Xenopus tropicalis: one gene and its partners. Each later gene encodes a partner of the first gene's protein in a complex. Links are inferred from orthologs where the notes say so. Each region holds a gene or a part of one and is shown in the gene's direction. Other genes may lie near its edges.

Region 1 (10,694 bases):
GAGTTTGCTTTATTGGGAGATTCCATCACAGAGATCTTCTCTACCTCCCAGGGACCGTTATGGTACGATCAATGGCCAAGGGGCCAGATAATTGAATTTGGACTGATTTGGCCAGACACAAAGGTGGCCATTTTGTGCAAAGATCCACTCGATTGGTGACCTCTCCAAAAGAGCGGCTCTATAAGTGTATGGCCGGCATTAGAGATGAGGGTGCTCCAGTGAATATCTAGTCTATAAGAGTGGGTACCTTGCTGTTATCTAACATAAGGAGATCGCAGGGCAGTCTTGGCTTCCCCTGATGAAATATTAGAAGGGTAGACATTAGTAATGTGTAAATCGGCATATATATGGCCCATAGCTGCACCCTGTGAACCCCGACCCAACGTGTCCTGTAAACTTGTATTAGAACTGCCCAGGGTTGGACTGGGGGGTGCAGGGCCCACCGGGGCTTCTGCCTCAGGGGCCCCTGCACCCCTCAATGACCCTGCTGCCTTCACAACCCCCCCGCCATGCAGAGGCCCCCAACACCCTCCGTCCCCCTCCCTCAAGCACTTCTAAGAGAAACTTATCTGCAGCGCGTTGGGGGAGGGAGACGGCAGATCATGGGAGTGCCCTGGAGGGAATCAGATCTGGGCGGTCCAGTCCGAAGCTGGAACTGCCCCCTCCTCACTGGCGGGGTTGGGGCAGGCCCAATGTCTGTAGACCAGGGGGTGAGGGGTTAAAGTCACTAGAGGAAAGGGTTAAGCCTCCCATCTGCCAGTGACCCATTACAGGAGCAATTTGATGTCCTGAACCTGCCTGGAACCTGGATAAACCTGCAAGTCCCTACGGATATTTGGCCGGCCTTCTCACCACTAATAATGGGTCCCGTACCTCTATATACAGGTACGGGACCCATTATCCGGAAACCCATTATCCAGAAAGCCCCGAATTACGGGAAGCCCATCTCCCATAGACTCCATTATAATCAAATAATTAAAAATGTAAAAAACAATTCCTTTTTTCTCTGTAATAATAAAACAGTTCCTTGTACTTGATCCCAACTAAGATATAATGATTCCTTATTGAAGACAAAACAAGGCATGGTGATCCAAAATACAGAAGGACCTCTTATCCATAAATGTCCCAAACATTGTGGATAACAGGTCCCATAGCTGTAGTGCTATTTAGTTATTCAGTGCTTGGTTTCATGCAATGGTTGCCAAGGGCATTAAACATCATTATATTCACCCTTGATTACAGCGCAATAAATTGTAAATATATAACTATGAGCGGTCACCCATGATTTGCCATCACTTCTTGCAATCAAAATGACAAACGTACAGTATAATATTAACAGTTATATAGGGCGAGGAGGCCCCAGGAAGATTAAATAGCTCAGATTAAATACAACAAATTACTTCTTATTGAAAAGGATCTCTTGCAACTTTTTTTAATTGGGGGAAGGAATAGAGGCAGAGGGTTTATGTCCCCTTTATTCTCTTGCCCTGTATGTAACGTACCAAGTAGCAGCTCATGTAATGAACAAGGAAGAGCCAATGTGTGGGTGGAGATGCCCCAGCCTCAGCGCAGCCGCGGGTTATTTAAATTATAATAAATCTGTGATTGTAAATGTTCTGTATGTTTGATTTTCCTTTCATTCTGTATAATGTTAGATAAATAAATATAAATGTTTGTATCTCTCAATATATGTATGTTTTGCTGTGTGTACATACTTGGCCAGCAACCAAGCGTTAAGGTGGCCATACATTATACGATTATACAGATCTTTCCCTGATGTGCCCACGTAAAGGTCCCCATACACGGGCCGATTGTAGCTGCCGATATTGGTCCCTTAGATCGATTCGGCAGCTAATCGGCCTGTGTAGGGGCAGAAACAAGGGGCCTGCCCGACCGATATCTGGCCTGAAATTGGCCAGATATTGATCGGCCAGGTTAAAAGATTCAGTCGGATCGAGGACCGCATCGGCTCGTTGATGCGGTCCCTGAACCGACTGCCCCATTGCCGCCAATATAATTCGATCGTTTGGCCCCAGGTCCAATCGATCGAATTAGCCTCCATGTATGGGGACTCTTAGGTGGTTGATATTGGGCTAATTTAATCATTTGTCCCTAGAAAGACGGAGATAGGAGCAGCCAGAGCGACGGGAAAATCAAACATGTCTGACTGACATCTGTCCAATTTTCTGTCCAATTGGGTATATTAAATCAAGGGCTAAAGCATCATGGGAGCTGTAGTCTAAGCACCTGCTGAGGTGGATCCTTTAGTATCTGTAACTACGGTTGGCATGCCAATTTTCGAGAGCTAGGGGGCGCCAGAAGAGGCCGATTTAGGGATAATGTAGGGGCACTTTACTGAGCCGTTCCCTGGAAACAGGTTTGGCTGCATATGTGTATAATGGTTTCCCACCCTTTTGTGTTTATCATTTTACATCTAAATTGAAGGGCACAAGCTTTGTCCTGTATTTATTCAACCGAACCGCTATTCCATACCTGATTAACAGGACATACGTCTTATTCGCAAAAACCCGTTGCACCAGCTGATTTAGTGGGGCATATAGGGGGTCATTTAGCAACGTTCCCAATATTGGAATTATGGTTAAAGAACTTGTATGTTGGATATTTCTTAAGTGCAGAAAACTCAGCGTGAAACGCGGCATCTAAAAGATGTGAGTTTTCAAGCCATTTTGAGTTTTTCGAGCTCAGAAATTTGAGGAGTTTGAGTTTTTTACGGATTTTGATTTGATAAAGTTTTTTATATACAGATTTTTTTTATACATAAACAAACATTCAATCATTTTTTATTCAATTAGACCTCTACTTTCTCCCCACGTCCCCCCAGTCACTGCATATAAGTTAACCAATCACATTTAACTTTCAGTATCATTGTATCCAACTTACTTTGAGGTGTGAGCACAGTTCTACTTATATTAACACAACTACCCCAGGCACAACTCCCCCTGGTGTCCCCAATGACAATGCAATTAAGGTGGGAAAACGCTGCATTGTGGGAAAAAAAACACAGCAATTGTGATAGAAATTAAACTTTGCACTAGTGGTCATAAATGACCCCTTATTACTTTAAGCAGGGGGGTGGTGTGTACGAGAGGGCGGGCTGATGACATTGGGGGCGTGGTCAGGACACTATGGGGGTGGAGTTCTGCCAACCCAGGCCACAGCTAGGGAATTAGTGAGTAGTGTGGGGTAGAGGGATGGGCTGGGAGAGGGATTTGGAGGCAGGTAGGGGGCGGTGCAGGGCCAGAGGACTAGATATTACAAATTTACAGCAAGTACATTGCTAGTAAATATGTAATCCTGGCCCTGGCCTTGGTTACTATTTTGCCAGCTTGGCCGGTGAAATACTAGCTGGGTGGCAATCCTACAGGGTCCTGACTCAATGTAGAGCCTTGATCACTAGATTGGTAAAGCCATAAAAAACCTACAAATCGCAATTTAATTTCCTATGCTTTATTAGCTAAATATAAAGAGGAAAATGACTGTGGTTTATATGAAGGGCAACCCTTACCTCTTCTATGCCCAGGCTTTCCCCGCCAAGGAGGTTAACCACCTGCCAGCAACGTAGAATCGACATTTCCAGGTTCAGTTGTGACTGTGAAAAAAGCATTACGAGAATGGCCCGACATGGAAAGAGTTAAAGCAATACCCATGTAGATCAGTTCTGTCCAGCTGTTTTCATGCAGCAGAATAAATGTTTTACAATAGCACCACTTTGGGCCTTTTTATGGGTTCCTTAGCGCCTTGTCTTGTTCTGCCTTAGGGCTATGGCACACCCATAGGTGATTATTGCATTGCCGGGCACTGGCAGGGATATTACTAGTAGAATAACTATAGAAAAGGCAGACCCTGCTGAGGGGGGTTGTGGGTGGCCCTGGGGACCTGGAATGCAGGGTGTTCTTCTGTAATGGCAGAGAATCCCACCTCCCTGAGAGCGAGTGGCGGGGAACAAGGGAGTGGCTGGGTATGGGTGGCAGTGTGCATCTATGGAGGGGCCATTGCAAGACAAAAAGCCCAGATAATACGCCAAGTGCCTTAGCACTGACTAATATGCCTTTTTGGGAGGCTGACAGGGCCAGAATGTGTGCTCTAGAGCAGTGGTTCCCAACTTTTTTTGCACCACGGACCGGTTTCAAGCAAGACAATTTGTCCAAGGACCGGGGATGGGGGGTGCGGCGCAACTAGTGCTAGTTAAATTTTATATTATGCACTTTACTATTAATATTATTATTACATACAGCTTAATAAAGTACTTTGGTCCTTGTCGTAATCAGTAGAAATCTTCCTGGGCTTCGAATAGCTATTGTCATGGCTGTGTAAAGCATCAGGGAGTTGGGATCACAAGTAATATGGAGCAGTGGTGGCCCATTTCAGCACAGCCCACGGCCCGGCACCGGTCCCCGTACCGGTGGTTGGGGACCCCTGCTCTAGAGGAGCCGGTGTGGTCCAAAGTGCCAGCTTGGTGCCCATGAAATGCTATTTTGCATCATGTCCAGTAGAGGTCAGCACCACCCTGCTGCTTTTCTGTATGTGGGCAGTAATACAGGAATGCCCTGGGTGAGCGAATTCCTTAGCCCCCAGCAGGATTACAGGCCAGAGGACTATCTGTGTGTCTGCTAGAGACGAATAAACCCCAAACAATTAGAAGAGAATGCTGAGATAGCCTGCTGTGGGGCGGGAGGAGCGGAGAGACAGGTGTGAGGGTGCATTGGGTGGGACCTTTTTAGAAGAGAAAGCTGCTAGGGATAAGTTGCATAGCTGAGATTGAAAAGGGTACTAGCTGTTTTGGTTGGGGGGGATAAGTAAGAGGGAAGTATCTGCTTTGGGAAAGTAATGGGATCTGCAGAGAACAGCACATTAACCCTTTAGTGGCTGAGATGCCTCCTACTTTAGATTTGTATCTCTAGACCCTCCCAGAAGGTTAAGCGCACTGCCCATACCATGCTCCCAGTGCCATGACAGTAGGCATTTGGGGGCCAATGTTATTTAAGGAATGCCCCACTGTTCACAATGCTGACCACCAGCAGATACAGGGTTAAGTCTTAAGATGGGCTGCAAGGGAGGGTCAAAGTATTTGTGTCACCCGCCTCGTGATTGGTCGGAGGTTGTTTGCATGCCCTTACTGAGCCAGGCAGCTTTTACCCCTGGGCACCCCCCCAGCACATTAATACCCCCCTCACAACACAGCGCTGCCAGTCCCACCCCTGCTTCATAGAGAGGGCTCAGTCTACGAGGGTCAGGTAAGGAACAGCCCCTGGGGGGCAAAGGCAGAGGCATGTGTATATACAATAAATGGATTTCTGTCTGTCAGTACAGTATGTGCATGAGATTAATTAGGGTCCTGCCTGGGCAACTTGCAGCCGAGATCTCTGCCTATACACAAGCCCCCTATCCCCCTAGCTCATTCATTACACTGTTCAGCCCACTATAAATAAATTACCTACATTTATTATAACCTATTCAGTCATACATTCTCTGTGCTTTAAAACAACAAGCTACAGAATTCCCTGTAAAACAAGAGTTAATATTTAACATTTACTTACATTACAACCTCCATTCACAATAGCAAAACCCAACCGGGGAGGGGGGATTTAACACCACGACCCTATCGTGAGAATTTTAATTGAATTTGTATATATTAACGATGCCAGTGAACTTCATGTATTGCGCAAATATTGGCAAGCACACAATTTTATCTACGTGCTTTCAGCAGCCTCGGTTCCACATATATAGATATAGTATGTTGGGGAAAAATCATTATTTTATAGTCATTAATAACAATTATATGTAATAGATCCCTGCCAGAGTTTAATGAGTGTATGAATGTACATTTAAAGTAACAAATTATCTGTGTATTTGTATTAACTGCTTAGAATTCCCGGCATTTACAGTTTAACCTGAAGGGAGGGGATGGCTGTTAATTAAAGAGTTAACAGACCATTCTCCACCGATTCCCTTTCTCTTAAACACACTTCACTTGTATAGATTTCTATTCAGCATTTGATTATCATGCCCCATAGTCTCTGTACAGAGCAACAAGGCTGCTCCATGCTCGGTACCATTATAGAATGTTGCTTAGTTATTGTTTTTAAGTGTTATGTTGTGTAGTAGACACTTACAATGACCCATTTTGTGCATGGAACCCATACCCACCCATTTGGAACTGATGTTTAATTCATTACAGGACCCCCTTTTGTAGCATGAAACATATATATATATTCCTGATAGAACCTATAGATACAAATGTATTAGATGGAACCATATATGTAGAATAAGTAAGGGTAGGGTACAACAGACTAGCTGCCAATATATTTTTTATATATATTTATATAAATATATATATATATACAGGCATGGGATCCCTTATCCGGAAACCCGTTATCCAGAATGCTCCGAATTATGGAAAGCCCATCTCCCATAGACTCCATTTTAATCAAATAATTCAGAATTTTAAAACTGATTTCTTTCTTCTCTGTAATAATAAAACAGTACCTTGTAATTGATCCCAACTAAGATATAATTACCCCTTATTGGAGGCAAAACAATCCTATTGGGTTTAATTACTGTTTTATTGATTTTTTAGTAGAGTTAAGGTATGGAGATCCAAATTACGGAAAGACCCCTTATCAGAAATACCCTTGGTCCCAAGCATTCTGGATAACGGGTCCTATACCTGTATATATATTATATATATCTCTCTTTTAACCCCAACTATGGGCCTGCTGAGCCCTATTGTTCTACCATGTATGCCTGTGCCCAAAGACTTACCACTACTCTTTCCCTCATTGCCCCAATTGGCATTGCTTCCCAGCCCATGGTTCGGTGAAAGGCTAGATTTGGGAGATTTTCCTAATTCCGGAGGATTTGTGCCCAAGTTGCCTGTGCTGAAAGAAGGAGATATTTGGAAATATGACCTGCGTCCGCCACCACTGATTGAGAACCTTGGTTTCAAGCATTATTATAATATTCCGCAGCCTACAGGCTGTAAATCTGGGGCAAATATTACTCAGCATTATAGGGCATTGAGTGGCTTTTATTTTAGCATCTGAAATGGGACCCCCTGAGAGTCAGCGCATGAATGCGAGGAAAGGGAATGAACACATGGCTAAGGTTTCTTCACCTGTGACCTCATTCATTAGAAGGGCCTGGCAAGGAGGGATCCATAGAGAAAGGGTGAGACAGCTGTCATGCCTTAAAGGCTCCGTGGGATATTTTCGGAAAGTCTTGCAAAGTTGCTGATATCTCCAAAGGGGATCAGATGACTTCAAATAGGGTGGCGGGGTGTCCCATCTCTGCTCCCCCTGCCAAGGTTCTATTTAGAGGCCGGCCAGCGGTGGCAGAGGAAGGGACATCCAAGGAGCTGAGTTCATTGGGGAATTTCAGACTAATCCTTCCATCAGTCTGTGCCTAGGCTGGTATGTGAGCGGGGCTCAGCGTGTTCCTTACAGGGATTCTTTGCCAAAGAGTTATATCTTGGGGGGCAGGACTTCATGTGCTGAATTTTGTGTCTTTGTGTTTTGTGCTCAGGTATCACAGAAACCGCCAAGATGGGTGAAGAGTGAGTAAAAACCTCTTTGGGTCAAACCATGTTCTCTCTGTCTGTCTCTATATTATATCTGACTAGTATCTGTCTTATTCTTTCTAATCTATCTGTCTATCTATCTATCTATCTGTCTATAATCTATCTATCTATCTATCTATCTATCTATCTATCTATCTATCTATCTAATCTATCTATCTATCTATCTATCTATCTATCTATCTATCTATCTATCTATCTATCTATCTATCATCTATCTATCTATCTGTCTATAATCTATCAATCTATCTATCTATCACCTATCTATCTAATCTATCTATCTATCTATCTATCTATCTATCTGTCTATCTTCTATCTATCTATCTATCTATCTATCTGTCTATCTATCTATCTATCTATCTATCTATCTATCTGTCTGTCTTCTATCTATCAGGCATATATCTGTCTCTATTAACCTACTATCTGTTAATCTGATATTAATCTATCCCTCCATCTATCTCGGTAACGTTGAATATCGCGCATATATGGCTATCACTTATAATTAATGTTATATGAATCTAAATTCAGCTCTCTGTCTATGGTATTTAGATACAGTAGGCATAAGTCCATTCTCCTTTAAACAGATTGTAAGGTATTAGGCCAAGCTTATTGGCTGCTCAGAACATTATTATATTATGGAGGAAATGTAGCAGCAAGTCTATTTTGCTCCAGGTCTAGTAACCTATAGCAACCAATCGGCAGTTAGCAGATGGAATTGGTTTAATGCAGATGGAATAATGAAAGGAAACATCTGATATGTTGCTACAGATCACTACAGCTCTTTCAGTTTTTACTATATTGTGGACCAAATTAGATCCCTAATTAGAATATTTAGATCTGAGCTCAACCAACAAAAGAGCATTATGGGTAAACAAACATGTCCAGGGCTTTAACATAACATAAATACTTATACATTGTTGTCTATTCAAGGAAAGATATGGTACCCTTATACAGTGTAGGTCAAACTGTGTCCCCTATACACTGAGAGTATGTACCATTATATGTTCTTATTGTATTGGCTCTATAAGTTATAGGCAGTGCTGTGTCTGTCTTTCATTTCTAACCTCTTCTTTTTTATTTCCCTTCTCTTTTCCCCTCTGATTAGTGACGTAAGTTACTCTTTTTCCTTTCATTATGGCGCATGTTGTGACAATGTAGGGGCAGCCTTTACTGAGCTAAACAGACTTTACCATGACCCAGACTTACAGATAGATAGATACATACAGGCATACAGGCAGACAGTGTCGGACTGGCCTACCAGGATACCAGGAAAACTCCCGGTGGGCCCAGGTGTCAGTGGGCCCCTTTTGCTTCTATCTATTTAGCCAATTTCATGGTGATTCACTGTTTCTGTGTGGGAACAAGGAAGCTTGATAGATGGAAGAATAGAGTATAGTATGTAGAGAAAAGAGACTAGGATAATAAAGTGTTTGAGGGAGGAGAGTTGGAATTAAAGTTTTGAAAGTTGGCCCATGGTCCAGGGTTTTCTGGTGGGTCCCTGCCATCTCAGTCCGACACTGCAGGCAGATAGATATATGTAGTGAGTACTATATAATATTCAATAGAGATATGGTTAAAATAAGAAACAGCTGAAATTTCCTTAGGCCAGGAACACTAGCATCTTGTTCCACCAACCGTGAACATTAATATGGAGCACTTTTGCTTTCAACTTCCTTGTCCTGACTGTCTTCATTTTTGTCCCTGCTGCCCTTTCTATTTTAAACACAGATCCGTCTTACAGGTTATTAGTCCCATTACTACTATGAGAATAATTTCTTCTTACTCTGCCTGAAATCAGAAAGGCATTGTCCCATACCAGGCTATCATCCCACAACCATAGTCCCTTCCCAGAGGCTATTATCCCACTGCTACTATAGGCACCATCTCTCCCTACTATACCTGCTATCCCACAGCCCCAGTCCCTTCCCAGAGGCTATTATCCCCCCACTGCTACTATAGGCACCATCTCTCCCTACTATACCTGCTATCCCACAGCCCCAGTCCCTTCCCAGAGGCTATTATCCCCCCACTGCTACTATAGGCACCATCTCTCCCTACTATACCTGCTATCCCACAGCCCCAGTCCCTTCCCAGAGGCTATTATCCCCCACTGCTACTATAGGCACCATCTCTCCCTACAATACCTGCTATCCCACAGCCCCAGTCCCTTCCCAGAGGCTATTATCCCCCCACTGCTACTATAGGCACCATCTCTCCCTACTATACCTGCTATCCCACAGCCCCAGTCCCTTCCCAGAGGCTATTATCCCCACTGCTACTATAGGCACCATCTCTCCCTACTATACCTGCTATCCCACAGGCACAGTCCCTTCCCAGAGGCTATTATCCCCACTGCTATTATAGGCACCATCTCTCCCTACTATACCTGCTATCCCACAGGCACAGTCCCTTCCCAGAGGCTATTATCCCCACTGCTACTATAGGCACCATCTCTCCCTACTATACCTGCTATCCCACAGGCACAGTCCCTTCCCAGAGGCTATTATCCCCACTGCTACTATAGGCACCATCTCTCCCTACTATACCTGCTATCCCACAGCCACAGTCCCTTCCCAGAGGCTATTATCCCCACTGCTATTATAGGCACCATCTCTCCCTACTATACCTGCTATCCCACAGGCACAGTCCCTTCCCAGAGGCTATTATCCCCACTGCTACTATAGGCACCATCTCTCCCTACTATACCTGCTATCCCACAGGCACAGTCCCTTCCCAGAGGCTATTATCCCCACTGCTACTATAGGCACCATCTCTCCCTACTATACCTGCTATCCCACAGCCCCAGTCCCTTCCCAGAGGCTATTATCCCCCCACTGCTACTATAGGCACCATCTCTCCCTACTATACCTGCTATCCCACAGCCACAGTCCCTTCCCAGAGGCTATTATCCCCACTGCTATTATAGGCACCATCTCTCCCTACTATACCTGCTATCCCACAGGCACAGTCCCTTCCCAGAGGCTATTATCCCCACTGCTACTATAGGCACCATCTCTCCCTACTATACCTGCTATCCCACAGGCACAGTCCCTTCCCAGAGGCTATTATCCCCACTGCTATTATAGGCATCATCTTTTCC
Region 2 (10,781 bases), on another chromosome or scaffold:
CGTAATTCTGCTCGGCGGAGGAAAACTTCTTGGAGAAGTATGCACATGGATGGAGCTTACCATCTGCAGAATGTCTCTGGGAAAGAATAGCACCTGCTCCTACATCAGAGGCGTTGACTTCAATAAAGAAGGGTAGATGAGGCTCTGGGTGTCGAAGAACAGAGGCCGAAATGAAGGCATCCTTCAGGGACTGGAAGGCTTCAAGGGCCACAGGAGGCCAACAATTGGGTCTCCCTCCTTTGCGGATGAGGGAAAGGATAGGAGCAATGCGGGAAGAAAAGCCTTTAATGAATTGGCGGTAATAGTTCGCAAATCCTATAAACCTCTGGATTGCTTTAGTATTCTGGGGGAGTGGCCACTTCTGGATAGCAGATACCTTGGCAGGATCCATTTCGAAGCCCCTAGACGAGATAATGTAGCCCAGGAAGGAGATCTTTAGTACTTCGAAAGTGCATTTCTCCAACTTGGCGAAAAGAGAGGTCCAGGAGGTCCCGAAAAATATCGTTTACGAACTCTTGGAAGACGGCTGGAGCGTTGCAGAGGCCAAAGGGCATCACGAGGTACTCGTAATGCCCATCACGGGTATTGAAAGCCGTCTTCCACTCATCGCCCTCTCGGATCCTGATGAGATTATAGGCCCCACGGAGATCCAACTTAGAGAAAATCTTGGCCCCTTTTAGTTGGTCAAAAAGTTCTGAAATAAGGGGTAAAGGGTATCTGTTCTTAACAGTTATTTTATTGAGACCCCGGTAGTCAATACAGGGGCGGAGTCCACCGTCCTTCTTTTCGACAAAAAAGAAGCCAGCTCCTGCTGGGGAGGTAGAAGGACGGATAAATCCACGCTGGAGATTCTCAGAGATATACTCCTTCATAGCAGCCGTCTCTGCAGGGGATAAGGGATAGGTCCGCCCACGGGGTGGCATGGTTCCAGGAAGGAGATCAATAGGGCAGTCATACCGCCGATGCGGGGGAAGAAACTCTGCTGACTTTTTACAAAACACATCAGAGAAGTCCCTGTAGACGGAGGGCAGAGTTGAAAGACTCGTAGAGGAGACTGTAACCCGCTGGAGTGGCTGAGGAATTAAACAATGTCTTTGGCAGTACTGACTCCAATGGGAGATTTGACCCGATGACCAGTCAATGGAGGGGTTATGGAGTCGTAGCCATGGCAACCCCAGCACAACAGGAGACGAAGGACATGGAATGATCAGGAATGACATCTTTTCCAGATGTTGTGCTCCAATCTGGACAGATAGTTCACCGGTGGTTAAAGTGATGGTGTCCGTGGAGAGAGGTCTGTCATCGATGGCGAAGACCCGAATAGGAGGAGTCACTGGAAAGAGGGAAATGCCAACCTTTTTTGCGAATGCCAAGTCCATAAAGTTTCCTGCAGCTCTGGAATCAAGGAAGGCTGAGACTGGAATTGCCTGGGAGGGCAATCGGATCTGCACAGGAACATGAAATTGGTGAGATTGTTCCGCTGACTTAGGAACAATACTACCAGCAAAAGAAACAACAGTCTTACTTGAAGCAGGAGTATTCCCCAGCTTGACAGGGCAGGAAACCGCTAAGTGGGATTGTCCGCCGCAGTACAGACATAGGCCGGAAAGGCGTCTCCGAAGCTTCTCTTGTGCAGATAGTTGAGCCTTCCCAAGTTGCATGGGTTCCTCCGAAGGGGAAGTGGTAAACTGCGGAGAAGACGGGGGTATCATAGGGTTCTGGAAGCGCGGAGCCAGGACTGGATGAGACTTTTTACTCCGCTCTTTATCAGCCTGATGTTCTTTAAGGCGAGTGTCTACCTTAATAGCGAGAGCAATCAAATCTTCAAGGGAGTCAGGTAGATCTCTGGATACCAGGTCATCCTTCAGACGGGACGATAGGCCTTGGTAGAAGACTGCCTTATAAGCCTCTTCATTCCAGGAAGTTTCCGCCATGAGGGTTCTAAAGTCTATGGCATACTCACTGGCACCGAGACTGCCCTGGCGGATTTGCAGCAGGCGTGAAGAGGCAGTAGCGACCCGACCAGGGGCATCAAAGATGGTTCTGAACATCTGTAGAAATTCCTTCACATCAAATGTCAGGGGTGACTGACTCTCCCAGAGAGAAGTTGCCCATTCCAGTGGTTTGCCCTCCAGACGAGACATAACGTAGCCCACCTTCGCTCGCTCACAGGAGAATTGGGAAGGTTGGAACTCAAACTGAATCTGGCATTGAGTCACGAATCCCCTGCAGGCCTGCGGATTGCCACTGTAGCGCGGAGGAGGAGGTATTCGTGGCTCACGAGCTGGCGACATCGCTGGCAGAGGAACCACCACAGCAGGAGGAATTTCCGCGACAGCGGGAGTAGCGGGCAAACGGGACAAAATGGAATCAAGTACTTGCCCAATTCTGACTTGCTGGGATTCATACGCCTCCATACGGGACGCCAGCCCGCGAAGGGCTCTTCCGACGTCCGGTACCGCTTCCTCGGGATCCATGGCCCGAGTATAATGTCAGCGGGGGCCTCCGGCACCCACGGGAGGGGTGAAGTCAGGATCAAGGAGGAAGGCCGCTTCCAGTGAGTCCGAGCGAAGTACAGATGCAGGATAATCCAATAGAGAGGTCAGGTTCAGGCAAAGGTCACTTAAGGCAGGCAGCAAGGTTCAAGGTCAGGAACAGGCAATTAAACAGCAACAGGAAAGCAGATGAGAATATTAGAGACCCAGGAACACAATAGGTATGTTGAGCTATACTCGGGCATTGAACCTGGGTCTCTGGCGTCCTTTGCGCCATAGCGCGTGACGTCATCGCGCCGGCGTCCTTGCGCCCACGTGGAGCCCTGGGCGCCGCCATCTTGGATTTGCCGCGCCGGGAGGGAGGACGCCGCCGCACGCCAGGTAGGGAGCGTCGCCGATTCATGACAGGCTTATTTTGAATTCCAGTCCAGGTCTGTGCTGGAGCCCCAAGGGGTGCAAAACTATGTACCATAGGACCCATCCAGGCCATATGGATTTAGTATGGATAGAGTTTCCTTCTGCCTTGCATCCCACTGGCACTCCCTAGTTTGCATGTCTGAAAGATGTAGCACACAACATGACCTTATGGATACAGTGCTGCCAAAAACAGGCAGTGGTGTATTCATAGGTATGCAGGTCCAGGTCCAGACTGAGATTCAAAATCGGCCCTGGCATTTCAAGGGCAGAGAGGCCCAAACAACCCCCACCAGCCCAAAAAATAGTGGGCTGGTGGTGTCTATGGCATCTTACTGCAGCCCCTCTGGCATTTGCCCGAATGCACAGGGCTTGCAGGCGTGATACAAGATGCAAAAGCTTTGCATATTTTGCATTATGTATTTATTGGTAGGGTTGCCACCTTTTAAAAATAAAAATTAAAGCTGGGGTGGGACAGCAACTAAAGGGGGGTGGTATAGAGTGGATGTAAGTGGAGACATTAGGTGGCGATTATGTTAGTATAGGCCAGGTACACACTTTTGGATTTTATGTTGATGATGCCCAGTCTGCAGCTCTCCAACTCTTGTTCCAAAATTCCCAGAAGCCTCTAAGTGCTGTAGATTATACACAATCGTTCCTGGGTGTCAGGTTCTCTGGTGGACTCTAGGAGGCCTACTCTAGCACTGATTAGATGAACATACAGAAAAAAAGATAAAGTTATTATAAAATGTGGGGTCAAGCAAATTCTAATTATGTCACAGCAAGTCCTGCTGAATGGTTTAGCTTTCTGGCACTGAACAGAATCTGCTTTTTTCGTTATCCAAAAAGCAGCCATTGTGTGTTCTGCATAAAGTAGAACTGTTTAACCTGCAGCACTTTAGTGTGTATTGAACTATAGCTCCCAGCCACTGGCTGCTGAAAATTGTACTTCAACAACAGCTGAAGGGCCACTGGCTGGGCCACACATGTGTTACTGATGCAACTTAAAACTGCTGGTCAGCTGGTCCCTACAGTATGACTCAGTTCAGTCACTCCTATTTGCACCCACTGAAAGGCAGCTCTATGCCTGTCCTGCAGTTCTTCCTGCCTCTGCCAAAGCCGTTTGTATGGAGCTTGCCTGCCAGTGCAATTGCCAATGGATTGCCCTGCTTCTTGTGCCACTGCTGGTCACGTTTGCAGCTGCTTCTCCTTCTAATCTGGTTCCTTGTGAAGGGAGGGTGGGTGGGCTGGGGGGATCATTTGATACTATTCTTCTCTGGCTCTTGCAGCCCTTGTCATAAATCCGGGGGATGGAAGTCTCTCGTGGGGAGGGAATGGATGGGTGGGGGGGTGTTTAGTGCTGGAAATTCCCTTTAACTATTTACAGTAAGAGGAGAACCATGTGTTCACACTCATCAGTGTCCCCTCCCTCTTTACCTGGTCTTTTATTTTTGTGTTGACTGCCCCCCCAGCACAAGCTAAATTTGGTAAAAGGCTTCTCCCTCCAATCAGGGGTAAGCTGGCATGGGATTGGGAGTGGGGGTGTTTTAAGTTAGTGGCATCCAATCAGGGCAGAAGGGGGAGCAGGTGTGTGAATGGGCACAGTACAAATTAGAGGGGGACTGTTTGTAGAAAAGCTTTGGGGGTCTGTACAGAAGAGGAAACAGATACCTCCTGCCATCCTTCTCCTCTGCAGGCATTTGGGGTGACCTGCCAAGATGGTAAGTGTCCCTGAGGTTGGGGGGGTGCGAACTGAAAGGCTGTATCCATCTGCATCCTACAAAATGACAAAAAAGGAGACAAGAGGTGCAATTGTGCCAAGTCTTTGGAGTTAAAGGGGGCAGTGGGGTCTTCTGTCATAAGAGATGGCAACTCTACCCAGAACTGCCGAACAAATCTCTAACATTGTGGCTACTCAGATATGAATGACATGCTGCCTCTGTCACCATTCCTTCTCTGATCATCCATCACCAGGGACATCAAGGAAGGAATGCTTTGTCACCAAGACCCGAGCCAGAGAGTGGCAAATGTCACAGCTTTATAGTGAGGTTCAAAAAGAAACTTTCATCACCTCTAGCTTGCCTGGACTGAACTAAACTTTACTGTGCCCTACAGATACAGTTCCTCTGCTACAATAGCACTTAATAAGAGGTGTTTTGTGCTACTACAAGTAATCCTATTGTGTTTATGATGAAAGAGTTTTAACCTTGTGTTAGATTTATTGAATTATTTGCTTTTATCTTGTAACTAATATTAAAGGGTAACTATAATATGGTAACAGTCAGGGTAGATTTTAGCTTTGCAGTTGCTATTAGATGGTTAATATACCTGATACCAGATTCTCAGGGCTTTCCCACGGACATAATATCAGTTTGGCTTTGTCGAACCTTATTTAGAACAAGAACTGGGTTTTAAAGAGCTGGCTCTAAAACTGGCAGGCTTTGTATTTCTGGCTTGGATAATGTCAGGATTTTAGGATTGGCTTTTATATTGCTGGACATCTATCCGCTACAGGCCCCAGCTACCACCCCCACAGATCATAAGAATATGCTAAGGCATTGGTTGGGTTTTATGCTTTCTCTGTCACTGGTTATTTTAAGACCAATAAAAGAGTTAACTCTTTCTCTGCTAGTGCCAGTGCACTGTGTGTATGGTTGCTAGGGGAACGTTCATAGTAGGGGCAGTAAAATGCACAGAATGCACAGAAACAAAGAATGCTTTAGCTTGTAAAGGAATTTTCTTAATTAATATTGTGCTAAGATCCATTTACAGACTGGCACAGTTCTGTTATTAGCTATGACACCCCATTGGCACAGGAAAGTATGAATTCTGGGCTACAATTATGCTTAATGCTGTGTATATGGTCTATAAAAACAGGAGGAATTTTCATGCCGGGTTGGGATATATATCTCTGGGGTGCCATATATGCTAAATGTGTGCTTGGCAGGAAGATCTGGTTTGCTTTTATATTTGTATGTTGGAAAATGTGCATTCTGTTTTTTTGCTGTGAAGAATGGGATTGGTGTAGGGGATGCCTCAAAAACATTAAATAGGAAAACTACAAAGTTTAAAACAAAAGTGTCCTGGCTGTGTTCCTCCATTTTTAATGATCTATAACTCCAAAAAATCACATTTGCGATTACTGGCTTGCATCGAATGTGGGTGGGGGGGAGTAAGAACTGGAGGGGTGCAGAAACAAAGTGAAGAAGGTAATAGCTGTAATATAAAGGTAAAAGAAAGTGCATAATGATATTGTATTTTGCAAAAAAGTGGGGTGTCTCTATAGTGGTTTGTAAAAGTTGCACCTTTTTTGGAGACTGAAAATAAATCCACATTTAGGTCTATATACTCTGACAGCTCCATATAGGTCCATATACTCTGAACAGGTTGTATATGTTGCATATTATATTAATGGCTACATATGCTCTTAAAGGAACAGTAACACCAAAAAATGAAAGTGTTTTAAAGTAATTGAAATATAATGTATTGTTGCCCTGCACTGGTAAAACTGGGGTGTTTGCTTCAGGAACACTACTATAGTTTATATTAATAAGCTGCTGTGTAGCCATGGGGGCAGCCATTCAAGCTGGAAAAAAGGAGAAAAGGCACAGGTTACATAGCAGATAACAGATAAGATATGACACCATTGTATTCTACAGGGTTTATCTGTTATCAGCTATATAATCTGTGCCTTTTCTTCTTTTGAATGGCTGCCCCCATGGCTACACACCAGGGTTTATATAAACTCTAGTAATGTTTCTGAAGCAAACACAAAACTTTTACCAGTGCAGGGCAGCAGTACATTATAGTTTAATTTCTTTGAAATATATAAATTTTTTGATGTTACTGTTCCTTAAAAGGATCCATATGGAGAGGAAAGAAAAAGTTCAGTTTAAAGGTAATGGATCAAACTTTCCAGGTGGTTCTAGATGAAAGGGTTCTAAGGAAAGAGATTCTCAAGGTTCGGTGTCAAGCTATTGGTTCCGTGTGAAGGTCCGGCAAGGTTTCATCTTTCCCACAAATATGTTCACACTTTCCAAGGAGCTTGGCTTCAGTTTACATCACCCTACTTCTCTCCCCCCCCATGCATAACTTGGTATCCAGCCAGACTTCTTACTTGCAAATTCTCCCACTACAAAGACCAGGGCAAAAACAGATTCTACCCTAGAGATCATTGCCTAGTAACATTGTCTTCTATTGGTTATGATTGTTCTTTAAAATCATCATATCTTCTATGGTGATCTTTTTGCAGTTGTTTACAACCAGCACCTTCTTTTTGCTTATCATAAAACAACAGCAGAAGGATGCTTTATGGCAAAATTTTCTAGAACCCCACTGTCCTATACCCAATGTGTTTTTTGGTCTCTTTTATGCCTCATAAATTTATATGGCATTTATGGACATTCCATTACTTACACAGGGGATATATACTCTCTGTGGTTGATGGGTCCAACAACAGCATTTTGACCTCCCTGCCTAACCTTCTCCTCTGGGTAGCTAGTCAATTCATTAGCTCCATATCTATAAAATGTTACACTTTCCCCTTTTCTCCATAGCTTCAAAAATAGAACTTTGCCTTGGCATTCTTCCACAGGGAAAGACTCATGTAAATTCCACAGACAGATTCCAAACTCTGATTTTAGTTAAGCCATCTTCTCAGGATGTTTTACTTAACAGACACTAACAATTTAAGCTAAACATTATTAAATAAATACCTACAAATACTGGCACAGTAGCAGTTTGGTTGATGTTTTGGCAACACAGATACACAATTACTCCAACCACAAAATAAATTCAGACCATGGGCCACAGACAGAAGCCACACACAGGCAAATATTAATACCATTAGAAAGAAAAAAACACAACTGTATTATAGATGTGTGTGAATAGTAGTATATCTATGTTTGCATTTTGCACTTTTATACCTGCTATGGGCTTATTCACAAACATCCACAGTCCAATACGCTCAAAATTTCTTCACCTTGAGTCAGTTTTTATCACTGTGATCCCAGCCATACAGCTGCCGGGACAAGTACCCTGGGCTTCACACATGGAGGAACAATAGGAAAACTCAACACACTAAAGGTGCCCATACACGTGAAGATCACTTACGGGTGGGTGATATCGGGGAACATGTAGGCAACAATGGCGGCAATGGGGCAATCTTTTAACCTGCCCCATCGGTCGGGCATTCCCCTCGTTCCTGCCCCTACACGGGCCAATAAGCTGCTGAATTGGTCCAAGGGACCGATATCAGCAGCTACAATCGGTCCGTGTGTGGCCACCTTAAATATACACCTACAGACACTATATTTGTATAGTAATGTGATGACCTGGGAAGGAACAGTGGGAATGATGCCAATAGCAGGTGGAGATGATAACCTCCAGCTATGGCTTTAACAGATTTAATAGGGAGATGTGTTTCTTATTATAATAACAATGGTGTAACTAAATGCCCATTTGAAACCCTCCTACTCCCCCCTCTCATGCTTACATCTAGCACCAGTGCAGAAAGGGCACCTGAGTTATGCCACTGGCAGTGAGGATAATAGCCTCTGGGGAATAGAAGGTATAGTAGGGAGAGACGGAGCCTATAGAACAAGTGGGGATAATAGCCTCTAGGAAGGGACTGTGGCGTCGCAGGTATAGTAGGGAGAGATGGCGCCTATAGAAGGAGTAAGATAATAGCCTCTGGGTAGGTACTGTGGATGTGGGATAGCAGGTATAGTAGGGAGAGATGGTGCCTATAGTAGCAGTGGAATAAAAACCACTGGGAAGGTACTGTGGCTGTGGGATAGCAGGTATAGTAGGGAGAGATGGTGCCTATAGTAACAGTGGGAAAATAGCCTCTGGGAAGGGACTGTGACTGTGGGATATCAGGAAAAGTTGGGAGAGATGGTGCCTATAGTAGCAGTGGGATAATAGCCTCTGGGAAGGGACTGTGGCTGTGGGATAGCAGGTATAGTAGGGAGAGATGGTGCCTATAGTAACAGTGGGAAAATAGCCTCTGGGAAGGGACTGTGGCTGTTGGATAGCAGGTATAGTAGGGAGAGTTGGTGCCTATAGTAGTAGTGGGGATAATAGCCTCTGGGAAGGGACTGTGGCTGTGGGATAGCAGGTATAGTAGGTAGAGATGGTGCCTATAGTAGTAGTGGGGATAATAGCCTCTGGGAAGGCACTGTGGCTGTGGGATAGCAGGTATAGTAGGTAGAGATGGTGCCTATAGTAACAGTGGGGATAATAGACTCTGGGAAGGCACTGTGGCTGTGGGATAGCAGGTATAGTAGGTAGAGATGGTGCCTATAGTAGCAGTGGGGGGATAATAGCCTCTGGGAAGGCACTGTGGCTGTGGGATAGCAGGTATAGTAGGGAGAGATGGTGAAGGGACTGTGGCTGTAAAGATGGGTGAGATGGCAACACTAACATTTTACATTATCACAGTAAAACCTAGCACCATTTTATTGATGCTGAACAAAAACTCACAGCACCCACTGACAGCTAAAGGAATTTTAGGGCTGCTGAGAGTTACATGTCAGCAGCTGATGAAGGACAATATATAGGTGAAGAAATTGGCACATTCTTAAAAAAAAAAAAATATTTTGTACTTGTGCAGTGACTTTTTCTTTGCTGTTTATATGGAGAATTTGAATGCAAAACTACATTATCAAGTTATAAATATGCATTTTATTAAACTGCAAAGGAATGTTCTGCGCACAGTATAATCTAAGCCCTCAGACTTTGCTGTTGTCTATGTAAGGAAGAATACATAGAATATAAAGACTTTTTATAAATAGGGTATACGGTCCCTTTAACCCCACCCTAAATTGAAATGCACGTGGTTAAAGCTACACAATTCTATCCTGTGTCTGTCTAAATCAGGGCACATTTTTTAGGGGAATTGGATCCACACAGTGGGAATGGGCATTCTTTGATCCAGGACGTGTTTGTGCTTAGAAACAAGCAGGGCATCATAGGGTTTGCAAGGCTCTAGCAGGGCGAGACTTCTTAACTATCGCTTCTATTCCTAGAGTGGGACAGCTGACTCCTCCAAGGATCTGGGGGGGGAACAGGTGCAGCTGCTCCTATCTATAGTTCAGGCAGGGGGTGGTGGGGTAGAAGAAGGGGCTTGGGGTGTTCTTGAATTGCACTTATTGTTAACCCATTGCATTACAAACGTTTGCACAGGGTATAATCACACGGCATAAAAAAGATTAAATGGAAGATAGAAAGGTTGGAACACAAACCAGTCATTTAGGCTGTCTGCTCTCTGGTAACTCTGTAATTTGGGTTATAATCGGTTCTGTTTAACGACTGACCCACACTTTCATCTTTAGAGTAGAGGCACACATTTGTTAAAAAGCATGCGATAATTAAGTCCCGATTCATCAAAGTATATTCGCATGCATTAAGACGCATATCGAATGTGCAAAAAAAAACCGCAAATCACAATGCGTTATTTACCTCACAAATATATCGCTCGCAGCGGGAATTAACTCAAGATAAACGCTCATCGTTAAATAATTATGAATGAATGAATGAATTAATTAAATAACACAAAGAACATTGCGTCTTAATTATGACACCTGTCCTTTTAGTGAATCGAGCGTTAAGTCGCAGAAAATAAGAAGCAATAAAACTTTTTAACGCATGCTATAAATAGCGCTCGTTTTATCGCCCTTTAGTGAATCGGGCCCATAATGTTTATCTTGGATTTGAGAGTTACTGACTGACTTTGTGAAAAAGGACACATTAAAAGCAGCAGAAACCCATAGCAACCAATAAGATGCTTATACCTGTAGGTTGTTATGAATTACTGCACCTGGGCAAATTTTATTACATAACCCCATCAACTGGAGAATGATGGGTGCAGGA
Region 3 (10,657 bases), about 110 Mb from region 1:
ATATAAATGTCACAATATAAGGCTGATTAGTAATAATACAGCTAATTATTACATGACAGCTCAGCAAACCAGTGCAATTAGTATCAGAATTTAATAATCAGCCCTGTAGCATCGGTCTATATTGCAGGTCAACCTCATTTTCTGCTTGATAATTTGCGACAACCCCTAAGCTGAGCTTCTCAACAGCTGCCCAGAGCTCACTGAGCATGTGCAGTGTCAGACACTTTCCAAGATGGGGAGCTCCTGTGACAAGTTTGAGGTCCTGGTTCTTGCTGCTATTAAGATTCTGAATCTTTAGGCTGGTGCACTAAATTCAGTATATAAAATATGGCATTTTTAACCATATTCATTTTTTAGTTCTCCCTTAACTCTACTAAAAAAATAATTTAAACATTAATTAAAACCAGGATTAAGGATTAATTATATTCACCTTGGGATCAAGTGCAAGGTACTGTTTTATAATTACAGAGACAAGGGAATCATTTAACCATTAAATAAACCCAATAGGGCTGTTCTGCCCCCAATAAGGGGTAATTATATCTTAGTTGGGATCAAGTACAGGTACTGTTTTATTATTACAGAGAAAAGGGAATCATTTAACCATTAAATAAACCCAATAGGGCTGTTCTGCCCCCAATAAGGGGTAATTATATCTTAGTTGGGATCAAGTACAGGTACTGTTTTATTATTACAGAGAAAAGGGAATCATTTAACCATTAAATAAACCCAATAGGGCTGTTCTGCCCCCAATAAGGGGTAATTATATCTTAGTTGGGATCAAGTACCGGTACTGTTTTATTATTACAGAGAAAAGGGAATCATTTAACCATTAAATAAACCCAATAGGGCTGTTCTGCCCCCAATAAGGGGTAATTATATCTTAGTTGGGATCAAGTACAGGTACTGTTTTATTATTACAGAGAAAAGGGAATCATTTAACCATTAAATAAACCCAATAGGGCTGTTCTGCCCCCAATAAGGGGTAATTATATCTTAGTTGGGATCAAGTACAGGTACTGTTTTATTATTACAGAGAAAAGGGAATAATTTAACCATTAAATAAACCCAATAGGGCTGTTCTGCCCCAATAAGGGGTAATTATATCTTAGTTGGGATCAAGTACCGGTACTGTTTTATTATTACAGAGAAGAAGGTAATCATTTTCAAAAAATTGAAATTATCTGATTAACATGCAGTCTATTGGAGATAGCCAATAGACTGATTCAGAGCTTTCCAGAAAAACAGATCCCATACCTGTACTTATCTTTCTACCCAGGCCCTCATCTCTTCATCTTCCAGTCTCTGTGTAAACCACTGCCTGGTTGTTAGGTAAAATTGGACCCTAGCAACTGGAAAGCTGCTGCTCAAAATGCTAAATAATTAAAATGAAGACCAATTGCAAGTTATTCCTTTAGTTATATGTACCAGTATACTACAAAGTGTATCTGCTTGCACAGTGACAGGGAGAGCATTTGACCTGCTCAGAGGCTCATCTGTTTGGTGGGAGCAGGTGGCGTGCTAACTTATCCCCCTGACAAAGCCGCCCAGGGCTGGCATGCTGAGCCGTATTGTCATCTCACTTAACCTTTCAGTTGACATTGATCCCAATATAGATTTTGGCCCTCCTCATGCCTTGCTGTTCAAGAAGGCGTCGGTAAAGAAATGACCATGGGACCCTTTGTAAATAGTGCCTTAAACTCTGTAGAGATGTAATAGTGTTCCTACTCTTCACCCCTTACTCTTACATTCTGATAAATAGGGAGACTGAATGAGATTTTCTTTTGTATCCCAGTCCAGGTCTGATCCCTGAACTCCAAACTGAGCTTTTCTTGTAAATGAAAGGGCCGGTAACACCAGCAATGAATGTAATAGGTTTTATATCTCTCTCATGGATAGAAAAAACAGTTTTCTTTGAAGTTGCTGTCTCGGTTTTTATTGCAGTGTGTTTGCAATTGGCTCCGCTGTGTTCAGCCTCAATGTATATGTTGCCTTAGCTGAGGCCTGCCTGGGTAGTTTTGTGCAGTGCAGCTCTATATAAGGACTGTACAGTACAATTCAATACAGATACCATGCATTATATTACAAACATTAGAATTGGGGGCTAAGTTAATGAGTAAATGCATTGTCTGCTGGTTATGGATCTTTGATGAACTTGGCTTTTGTTTTGCCAGGAGCAATATGGATTCATAAGTAATAGAGATAAGATGTAAATAAATGTGTCTGGCAAGTCAATGTAGTGCAAGACTTGCCTGAACAGCATATAACTACACAGATATTAATATTTATGGAGACACTAAATGTTCCGGCCTTATGTCAGGCCTCTCTGTAGAATGCTTGGATACAATTAATGGCTTTTGGTTCTTTTAGCACAGACAATATAAAGATCAAGTCCAAGCAAGTACATTGTGCCTGCCTTTTGTAGCTCATAGTTTTCTGCTCTTTAATGCCCATGGTTATTTTATGTTCCGGACTCAGTTTAACTGCTGTTCTGATTCCTACATTTCCAATATCCACCTGTGCACTACTCTCATACTACCCCAACCTGCACCAGCTTATGACTACTGACCCATTCCTGCTCTGATATTCTTCTGCCTACCTTGACCGTGGCTTGACTTTGGTACTTACTATAACCTGTCTGGGAAAAGCCATACCTGGGGCTATTCAATGACTGGCTTATGCCCTCTGTGACCTTGGCATTTATGCATTACTAAATAACAAACATTCTACCTGAGTGTGAATTAGCCTAGGGCAACATAAACATGCCCCCACAAATAGTTGTATTTTTAAAAAGTTATTAAAAAGTAATGGGCTGCAAATGTTCCTCTTGACTGTGCAGGCAATCTAATAGCAGTGGGATAATAGCCTCTGGGAAGGGACTGTGGCTGTGGGATAGCAGGTATAGTAGGGAGAGATGGTGCCTATAGTAGCAGTGGGATAATAGCCTCTGGGAAGGGACTGTGGCTGTGGGATAGCAGGTATAGTAGGGAGAGATGGTGCCTATAGTAGCAGTGGGGGGATAATAGCCTCTGGGAAGGGACTGTGGCTGTGGGATAGCAGGTATAGTAGGGAGAGATTGTGCCTATAGTAGCAGTGGGGGGATAATAGCCTCTGGGAAGGGACTGTGGCTGTGGGATAGCAGGTATAGTAGGGAGAGATGGTGCCTATAGTAGCAGTGGGGGGATAATAGCCTCTGGGAAGGGACTGTAGCTGTGGGATAGCAGGTATAGTAGGGAGAGATGGTGCCTATAGTAGCAGTGGGATAATAGCCTAATAACAAACATTCTACCTGAGTGTGAATTAGCCTAGGGCAACATAAACATGCCCCCACAAATAGTTGTATTTTTAAAAAGTTATTAAAAAGTAATGGGCTGCAAATGTTCCTCTTGACTGTGCAGGCAATCTAATAGCAGTGGGATAATAGCCTCTGGGAAGGGACTGTGGCTGTGGGATAGCAGGTATAGTAGGGAGAGATGGTGCCTATAGTAGCAGTGGGGGGGATAATAGCCTCTGGGAAGGGACTGTAGCTGTGGGATAGCAGGTATAGTAGGGAGAGATGGTGCCTATAGTAGCAGTGGGATAATAGCCTCTGGGAAGGGACTGTGGCTGTGGGATAGCAGGTATAGTAGGGAGAGATGGTGCCTATAGTAGCAGTGGGGGGGATAATAGCCTCTGGGAAGGTACTGTGGCTGTGGGATAGCAGGTATAGTAGGGAGAGATGGTGCCTATAGTAGCAGTGGGGGGGATAATAGCCTCTGGGAAGGTACTGTGGCTGTGGGATAGCAGGTATAGTAGGGAGAGATGGTGCCTATAGTAGCAGTGGGGGGATAATAGCCTCTGGGAAGGGACTGGGGCCGTGGGATAGCAGGTATAGTAGGGAGAGATGGTGCCTATAGTAGCAGTGGGGGGGATAATAGCCTCTGGGAAGGTACTGTGGCTGTGGGATAGCAGGTATAGTAGGGAGAGATGGTGCCTATAGTAGCAGTGGGGGGGATAATAGCCTCTGGGAAGGTACTGTGGCTGTGGGATAGCAGGTATAGTAGGGAGAGATGGTGCCTATAGTAGCAGTGGGGGGGATAATAGCCTCTGGGAAGGGACTGGGGCCGTGGGATAGCAGGTATAGTAGGGAGAGATGGTGCCTATAGTAGCAGTGGGGGGATAATAGCCTCTGGGAAGGGACTGGGGCTGTGGGATAGCAGGTATAGTAGGGAGAGATGGTGCCTATAGTAGCAGTGGGGGGATAATAGCCTCTGGGAAGGGACTGTGGCTGTGGGATAGCAGGTATAGTAGGGAGAGATGGTGCCTATAGTAGCAGTGGGATAATAGCCTCTGGGAAGGGAATGTGGCTGTGGGATAACAGGTATAGTAGGGAGAGATGGTGCCTATAGTAGCAGTGGGATAATAGCCTCTGGGAAGGGACTGTGGCTGTGGGATAGCAGGTATAGTAGGGAGAGATGGTGCCTATAGTAGCAGTGGGGGATAATAGCCTCTGGGAAGGGACTGTGGCTGTGGGATAGCAGGTATAGTAGGAAGAGATGGTGCCTATAGCAGCAGTGGGGATAATAGCCTCTGGGAAGGGACTGGGGCTGTGGGATAGCAGGTATAGTAGGAAGAGATGGTGCCTATAGCAGCAGTGGGGATAATAGCCTCTGGGAAGGGACTGGGGCTGTGGGATAGCAGGTATAGTAGGGAGAGATGGTGCCTATAGTAGCAGTGGGGATAATAGTCTCTGGGAAGGGACTGGGGCTGTGGGATAGCAGGTATAGTAGGGAGAGGTGGTGCCTATAGTATTATCCTATAGTTTTCACACAATTTAATATATTCATTTTACTTTAGTTTTTGTTTTTCTTCCCTAGAACTTTAAGCCTATAGTATAGGACAGTGTCAGTCACAACACACAAAATCTTGTCACTGCTCCCTTTAGCAAGCTATGGGAAACATGCTGGCGGTGACCAGTAGCCTCGGCTCAGAGACACTTGCTTTAGCACCTGTCAGTAGTAGCAGTGTTTCTGTAGGCGAAAACATATGGCATTCCCTCTAAACTCTGAGAATGAATTCCAGCATTTTGTTTGTTTTGACACATTTAGAACTCTTTAAAGAACTCTTTTCAGTCGTGCAGTGAATTTATCTTTTAGCCAAGACGGGGGGTGAGGATGCAGCACAGACAGCTGGTACCAGGAACAGCATGAAATGTTATATATATGAAATAAAGGAAAAATATCCTATAGAAAAGGGTTTTTGCTCTCTGTTTTGTGAAAAGCAGCAGGGAGGGTGCAGGTCGGACAGCTCCTATGTATCTGACAGTTATTTCAGAATATAGAAATAAATGGACAGCATACAGTACAAAAGAATAAAATGGTTTTGAAGTGATGATATTTCCCTTATTGAATATGTTAGTACCAACCTGTGGCCTCCATCTCTGAAAAAGGAAATCTTTGGCCACACAGCTCCTGCTGGGTATATAAATAAATGCACTTGAAACCATGAGGTGGGCTCTTTTGTCTTCCCAAGGGGATGTCCTGGAAAGTGTCCATTGATAGGGGAAGGCTGACGTGTGGCTCAGGAGGAGCAAACAGTGCCGGGGGGGGGGGGGGGGGGGGGTATATAAACTGAGCCATCAGCTGTCACCAGTGTTGCACAATTGGCTCCTGGGCTCCTGACCAGCATCACTCACAATGGATGATATTTACAAAGCAGCGGTATGTGCTCAACTTTCTGCATTCTCTTTAACCTACTCCTTACAGCTGAAAGCTCGCTCATCAGCCCGTCTCCTGGGGCTCCTTCTGGGTTGGTGCTGATGCAGGGGTTGCAATATAGATCGGCATTTGTATACAACTTGTTCAGTTCCCTTGGTTTTAGGAAGGGTGAGATTCCTGTAAATATTAATATACTAAGTACACTGTGCACTGACCATATTGTTACAGGAATTACCTTTAACAATGAATTATGACTGCTCATATGGTCAAAGCACAATAACTTTAAAGGATTCTATCACCTTGTTATTATACTTTGTAGAGCTCCTTCAGCTGCATTACTGGGGATGTTCATTTACAAATGGGATTCAGATCCCAAATCAGATTCTGCTGCTGTTTGACTGCTGTCTATGGGAAATATTGTCAGTTGCTGCATATATTCATGTAAAATGGAAATGTACAGTATAACTATGAACATTTAAAATGTATTCTCTTAAACAGTGCTTAATGATGATACTTGTGTCACATGACTGGCTGAAACATGTATGTTATAATAATGTCCCCCAGAACTTCATGACCTGTATAATCTGTATGGTCATGGATCTCCTAGGTGTCTTTTAATATCCTGATAGTTTACAATTAGGGGTAAATCATTTTCTGTATAAACTTACACATTATCTGCAGTAACACAGGGAAGACATCTCTGAAATAGAAACTGTAAATGCCTTATTTTAATCAGATGAATAGAGATTTATGACAGGTTTAATTGTGTGCTAGATAATGAATAATATAGCATATGTAACATAGCATCATCTAGGGATTTGTGCAGGTCTGTAGGGCTCAGTAAGGACCTATACAACATCCCGCAGGGTACTGGTACTGGCCTAAACGCACAGGGGGCCAATGAAACTGTAGCAGCATCATTTTCCCATATAGCTGCATTCTGCATATTAATGGTCGGAGGATATTGAAATACCAAATGTCATTAATAGGGATGCACTGAATCTACTATTTTGGGACTTGGCTAAACCCTGAATCCTTCATGAAATTTTCAGCCGAATCCCGAACCAAATCCTAATTTCCATAGTCAAATGAGGCTAGGGATGGGACAAAGAGAACCGTGCTCACAGAGTGTGCCTAAAAACTTCATCTTTATGTGATGAAAAGTCACATGATATTAAGGATTTGAATTTGGCAAATGGATTTGGCCAAATCTGAATTGTGCTGAAAAACTCCAAATTTTGGTGGAATCCCGGACCGAATCCTCGATTCAGTGCATCCCTAGAGCTCATTACCAGGGGCAGGCTCAGACTGGCAATCTGTAGATTCTGGGAAATGCCAGAGGGGCTGCTGTAAGGTGCCATAGACAGTCACTATTTATTGGGCTGGTGGGGGCTGTTTGGGCTTCTGTGTACTTGAAATGCCAGTGCCTATTTTGTATCCCATTCCAGACCTGAACAGGAGTGTGAAAAATCATAGCCAGGCATAGTCTACAATGGGCCAGTATGAAATAATATACAGCATGTTTCATCATGTATAGAACCCTCTTGCAGAGTTGGTACCATGTAATGCCCCTAATGCAATGTTGAGTTTGAAGGGGAGTGTACAGTGTCCTACTATTGGAGATATCAGGAGATTTAGATGGAAGTACAGGTACTTTGCAGTAATTATATTACAGAGAATGAGCCACATTGCACTCACACTCACTGTCCTTCACTTCTCCTTGTCCTGCATATACCAGCTGCATGCACAGCACTCCAACGCCCCCCTGACCCACACATACACACTGACTTTATGGTGGGGCTATACAAACTCTACAGGGATAATGGGCATTTTGCCTGTCTATCTGTATATTCATTTGTTTGTTTAAATACTGCCCCTCCATCTACCAGAGCATCCATATATCTCTGTCTTTCTGTCCGTCTTTTCAAGGGTAAGATTTATTGAAAATATCTATTTGGGCTTAAGCTGACTGTACACTTATTAACGTACTTTCTGGCATGGTCACCAAATGAGCATATCTGTCTGTCTGATTTGGTCACTTACATGCCAGGCCAAATTGGGCTGATCTGATTGGCTGCACCAATGCACTAATTTGCCCTAAATTGCCTTGAATTTTCTAACCTGCCCACTATATATATGATCTTGGGGCTGCTGCCAGCTGAGGCCAATGCCGCCCCTCTCTCTCATTCCATGCTTACAATTCTAGCAGCAGAGTGGGTCTAGTGGGGCTGCATTGGTATGCAGTGCTATTACACTCTCTGCACTGGCAGAGCTGAATTTTCATTTTAAAACATGAAAATTCTGTTTTTAAAGTTACCAGAGGTGGCTTTTTGCCACCACTAGTAACTGGCTGCTTCCTGCCACCTAAGGCAAGGTTCTGACCCAGACCAATGAGCTGGTATCCTAGATGCCAGTCAGAGTAAGGTTTGGGGTGTCTTACTAACTATAACAAATACAAAAATGCTTTCATGTGTCAGCAAATTGTTATAGGCTAAAGAGAGTCGTTACCAAATGTTGGATATCAAAGTGGGGGCTTGAACTCCCCCCAAAGATCAAAAAGCCAGTGGCTTAACAGATAACCATAGTCTGAAATAGCCTATGGTTGCCGCCTGGCTAGTGTTTACCTGATTAGCTAGCAAATATCAGGCTTAAATGATAAAGAAAGGTTAATATATTGGGCTGTACCAATATGTTAGGTACCATCTAGTGTGTTAAAGGAACAGTAACACCAAAAAATGAAAGTGTATAAAAGTAACTAAAATATAATGTGCTGCTGCCCTGCACTGGTAAAAGTTGTGTGTTTACTTCAGAAAGTCTACTATAATTTATATAAATAAGCTGCTATGTAGCCATGGAGGCAGCCATTCAAAGGAGAAAAGGCACAGGCACATAGCAGATAACAAATAAAACACTATTGTATTCTACAGAACTTATCTGTTATCTGCTATGTAACCTGTGCCTTTTCTCCTTTTTTCCAGCTTGAATGGCTGCCCCCGTGGCTACACAGCAGCTTATTATATAAATTATAGTAGTGTTACTGTAGCAAACACACCAGTTTTACCAGTGCAGGGCAACAGTGCATTATATTTTTATTACTTGAAAGCCCTTTCATTTTTTGGTGTTACTGTTCCTTTAAATCACTAAGGACCAGTGCTTCTGTTTAATAAAAATTGCACCAGGGATCTTACTTTCTGAGCCCCCACATATCTATCTTTGTGGTATTTCCCAAGGCTCCCTTGCGGTTTTTTTAGGCTTTCATGTCCGCACTTTAGTAAAAATTAATTATTTTCCAGAAAAGATGCTTAGTGAGTAAAGATGGCCATACATAGGCCAATTTTAGCTGCCACTATCGGTCCTTTAGATCGTTTTGGCATTTTATCTGCCTGTGTATGGGCACGAACGACGGGCCTCCCGACTGACACCTGGCCTGAAATCAGGCAGATCTTGATTGGGTAGGTTTGATTTTTGATGCGGTCAGATTGTTGATGTGGTCTCCGAACCGATGACAATAAGATTGTTTGGCCTGGCCGAATTACCCATAGGTGGGCATATCGGGAAAAGATCCGCTTGCTTGGTGATCTCGCCAAACAATCGGATCTTACAATGTATGGTCACCTTAAGATCCCCACACATGGGAAAAAAGTTAAAAATTTAGTACAATGGGGGTGACACATTGTCACTAGTGTATTAACCTTTCTTTGTCCTTTAATGAGCAGATAATCAGCGGAAAAGAAAACTGGGGCAGCACTAACAGAGTGGCCCCTTCCTATGTGCAGATAATTACTTGTCAAGCCAGAGAGCAGACAAATCCTCCTGCTATTAATACAAGACATGCTGAACAATAGCCATGCAAAGCCACTTGTATTATCCACAAACAGCTGTTCTGGCCCAAAGACGTCAGCCATTTGTCCTGACAAACTGCCCGGCACACAGGAGGCAAATCCCAGAAGTTATTTGGGTCCTGTGCAATTCCAAAAATGAAAACGACTCAGGCTACAAAAAGGGTAGGCTAAAAAAAGAGCCATTGTTCAGGCTGCGCCCGCCATGTCCCGAATTCTTCTAATTCGGAAGAGCCTTAAAAGGACATTAATGTAGACAAATTTATTTTGTAAAATTCATGGTTGAGTTTTTAAAAGGCATTGCAAGTACAGGCTAGCCAGTGATGGGGAAGATCTATAATCCCTTTTTTAATTTTGGCTGGTAGAATGAAGGATAAACTACACAAAGCATTAGGGACTTTCCAATAACTCTCTGCCTTACAGACCCTGAGCTGGTGAGGCAGAAACTGACAGCTCTAGTTTCCTAGGCAACAGCAGTTCCAGCCAGCTAGGCACCCCATTCAGCAAGTTACCCTAAACTTGTGCAAACGACTTCCCCTTATATAGTCTGTTATATTTATATGTGACATTAACCTTATTGCCTGCAAGAATGGGACAGATGTATTAATATGCTTTCTAGCACCAAATAACAACAAATGATGCTGGGAGTTGTAGCTAAAGTATAGCTAAAAGGTTATCCCTTAAGACTAGTATAAAAATACTGTGTAAAATTCAGTTTATGTTTCAAAGTTCCGCTCTCTGTTAATGCTATAATGTGCCCAACCCATAAGAACCGTCCAAAACTGGGCAGTGGCCTTTATGCTATGATTCTACTGCTGTTGTTCTACTACAACTCCCAGCATCCCCTGAAGAATAATAATAATGACTATTGTAGATCAGCAACAGCTGCAAAGCCACAGGTTTGAGATCTAAGAGGGTGATGCATGGCACTTTTTTGTGCACTGAGTTTCCGAGCAATGTAATAAGCCCCTCTTGTACAAATAACTCCACACCTTCATGCCTACATAAGGCAATGCATGAGCTCAGCTAAATTTGGTGTTCGGTTCAGACTTGAATGACAATACCAATAATGGAGGCAGAGATAAGCGTGCAGCGGAGATAAAAGGGCCTAAGGTTAAATGCCAC

What was found.
Region 2: the proteins of tnni2 (region 1) and tnnc2 are in contact, whole or in part, in a crystal structure (PDB 1A2X), measured with the Oryctolagus cuniculus proteins. The link is inferred for Xenopus tropicalis from reciprocal best matches to the Homo sapiens genes TNNI2 and TNNC2. Residues at the interface, in NP_001076252.1 of Oryctolagus cuniculus: Glu5, Asn8, Arg9, Ile11, Thr12, Arg14, Arg15, Gln16, His17, Leu18, Lys19, Ser20, Val21, Met22, Leu23, Ile25, Ala26, Glu29, Leu30, Glu33; in NP_001076114.1 of Oryctolagus cuniculus: Ser13, Glu15, Met16, Ala18, Glu19, Ala22, Lys91, Leu96, Glu98, Cys99, Arg101, Ile102, Phe103, Arg105, Ile119, Phe120, Ala122, Ser123, Glu125, His126, Val127, Glu131, Ser134, Leu135, Asp138, Phe152, Met155, Met156, Val159, Gln160.
Region 3: the proteins of tnni2 (region 1) and tnnc1 are in contact, whole or in part, in an NMR structure (PDB 2MKP), measured with the Homo sapiens proteins. The link is inferred for Xenopus tropicalis from reciprocal best matches to the Homo sapiens genes TNNI2 and TNNC1. Residues at the interface, in NP_001139301.1 of Homo sapiens: Arg116, Met117, Ser118, Ala119, Asp120, Ala121, Met122, Leu123, Ala125, Leu126, Leu127, Lys130, His131, Lys132; in NP_003271.1 of Homo sapiens: Asn18, Glu19, Phe20, Ala22, Ala23, Ile26, Val44, Met45, Met47, Leu48, Gln50, Pro52, Glu56, Phe77, Met80, Met81, Cys84, Met85, Lys86, Asp87.

The regions. Positions count from the first base shown.
Region 1 is NC_030680.2:21,779,855-21,790,548, forward strand, and holds the start of tnni2 (troponin I, fast skeletal muscle), read left to right. Parts: upstream 1-5,208; 5' UTR 5,209-5,255; intron 5,256-7,336; exon of another isoform or gene 7,337-7,430; intron 7,431-7,542; 5' UTR 7,543-7,562; coding exon 7,563-7,573; intron 7,574-8,699; coding exon 8,700-8,703; intron 8,704-10,694. UniProt on the Homo sapiens protein: Troponin I is the inhibitory subunit of troponin, the thin filament regulatory complex which confers calcium-sensitivity to striated muscle actomyosin ATPase activity.
Region 2 is NC_030686.2:19,701,291-19,712,071, reverse strand, and holds the start of tnnc2 (troponin C, skeletal muscle), read left to right. Parts: upstream 1-4,561; 5' UTR 4,562-4,627; coding exon 4,628-4,630; intron 4,631-10,781. UniProt on the Homo sapiens protein: Troponin is the central regulatory protein of striated muscle contraction. Tn consists of three components: Tn-I which is the inhibitor of actomyosin ATPase, Tn-T which contains the binding site for tropomyosin and Tn-C.
Region 3 is NC_030680.2:128,880,564-128,891,220, forward strand, and holds the start of tnnc1 (troponin C, slow skeletal and cardiac muscles), read left to right. Parts: upstream 1-5,651; 5' UTR 5,652-5,672; coding exon 5,673-5,696; intron 5,697-10,657. UniProt on the Homo sapiens protein: Troponin is the central regulatory protein of striated muscle contraction. Tn consists of three components: Tn-I which is the inhibitor of actomyosin ATPase, Tn-T which contains the binding site for tropomyosin and Tn-C.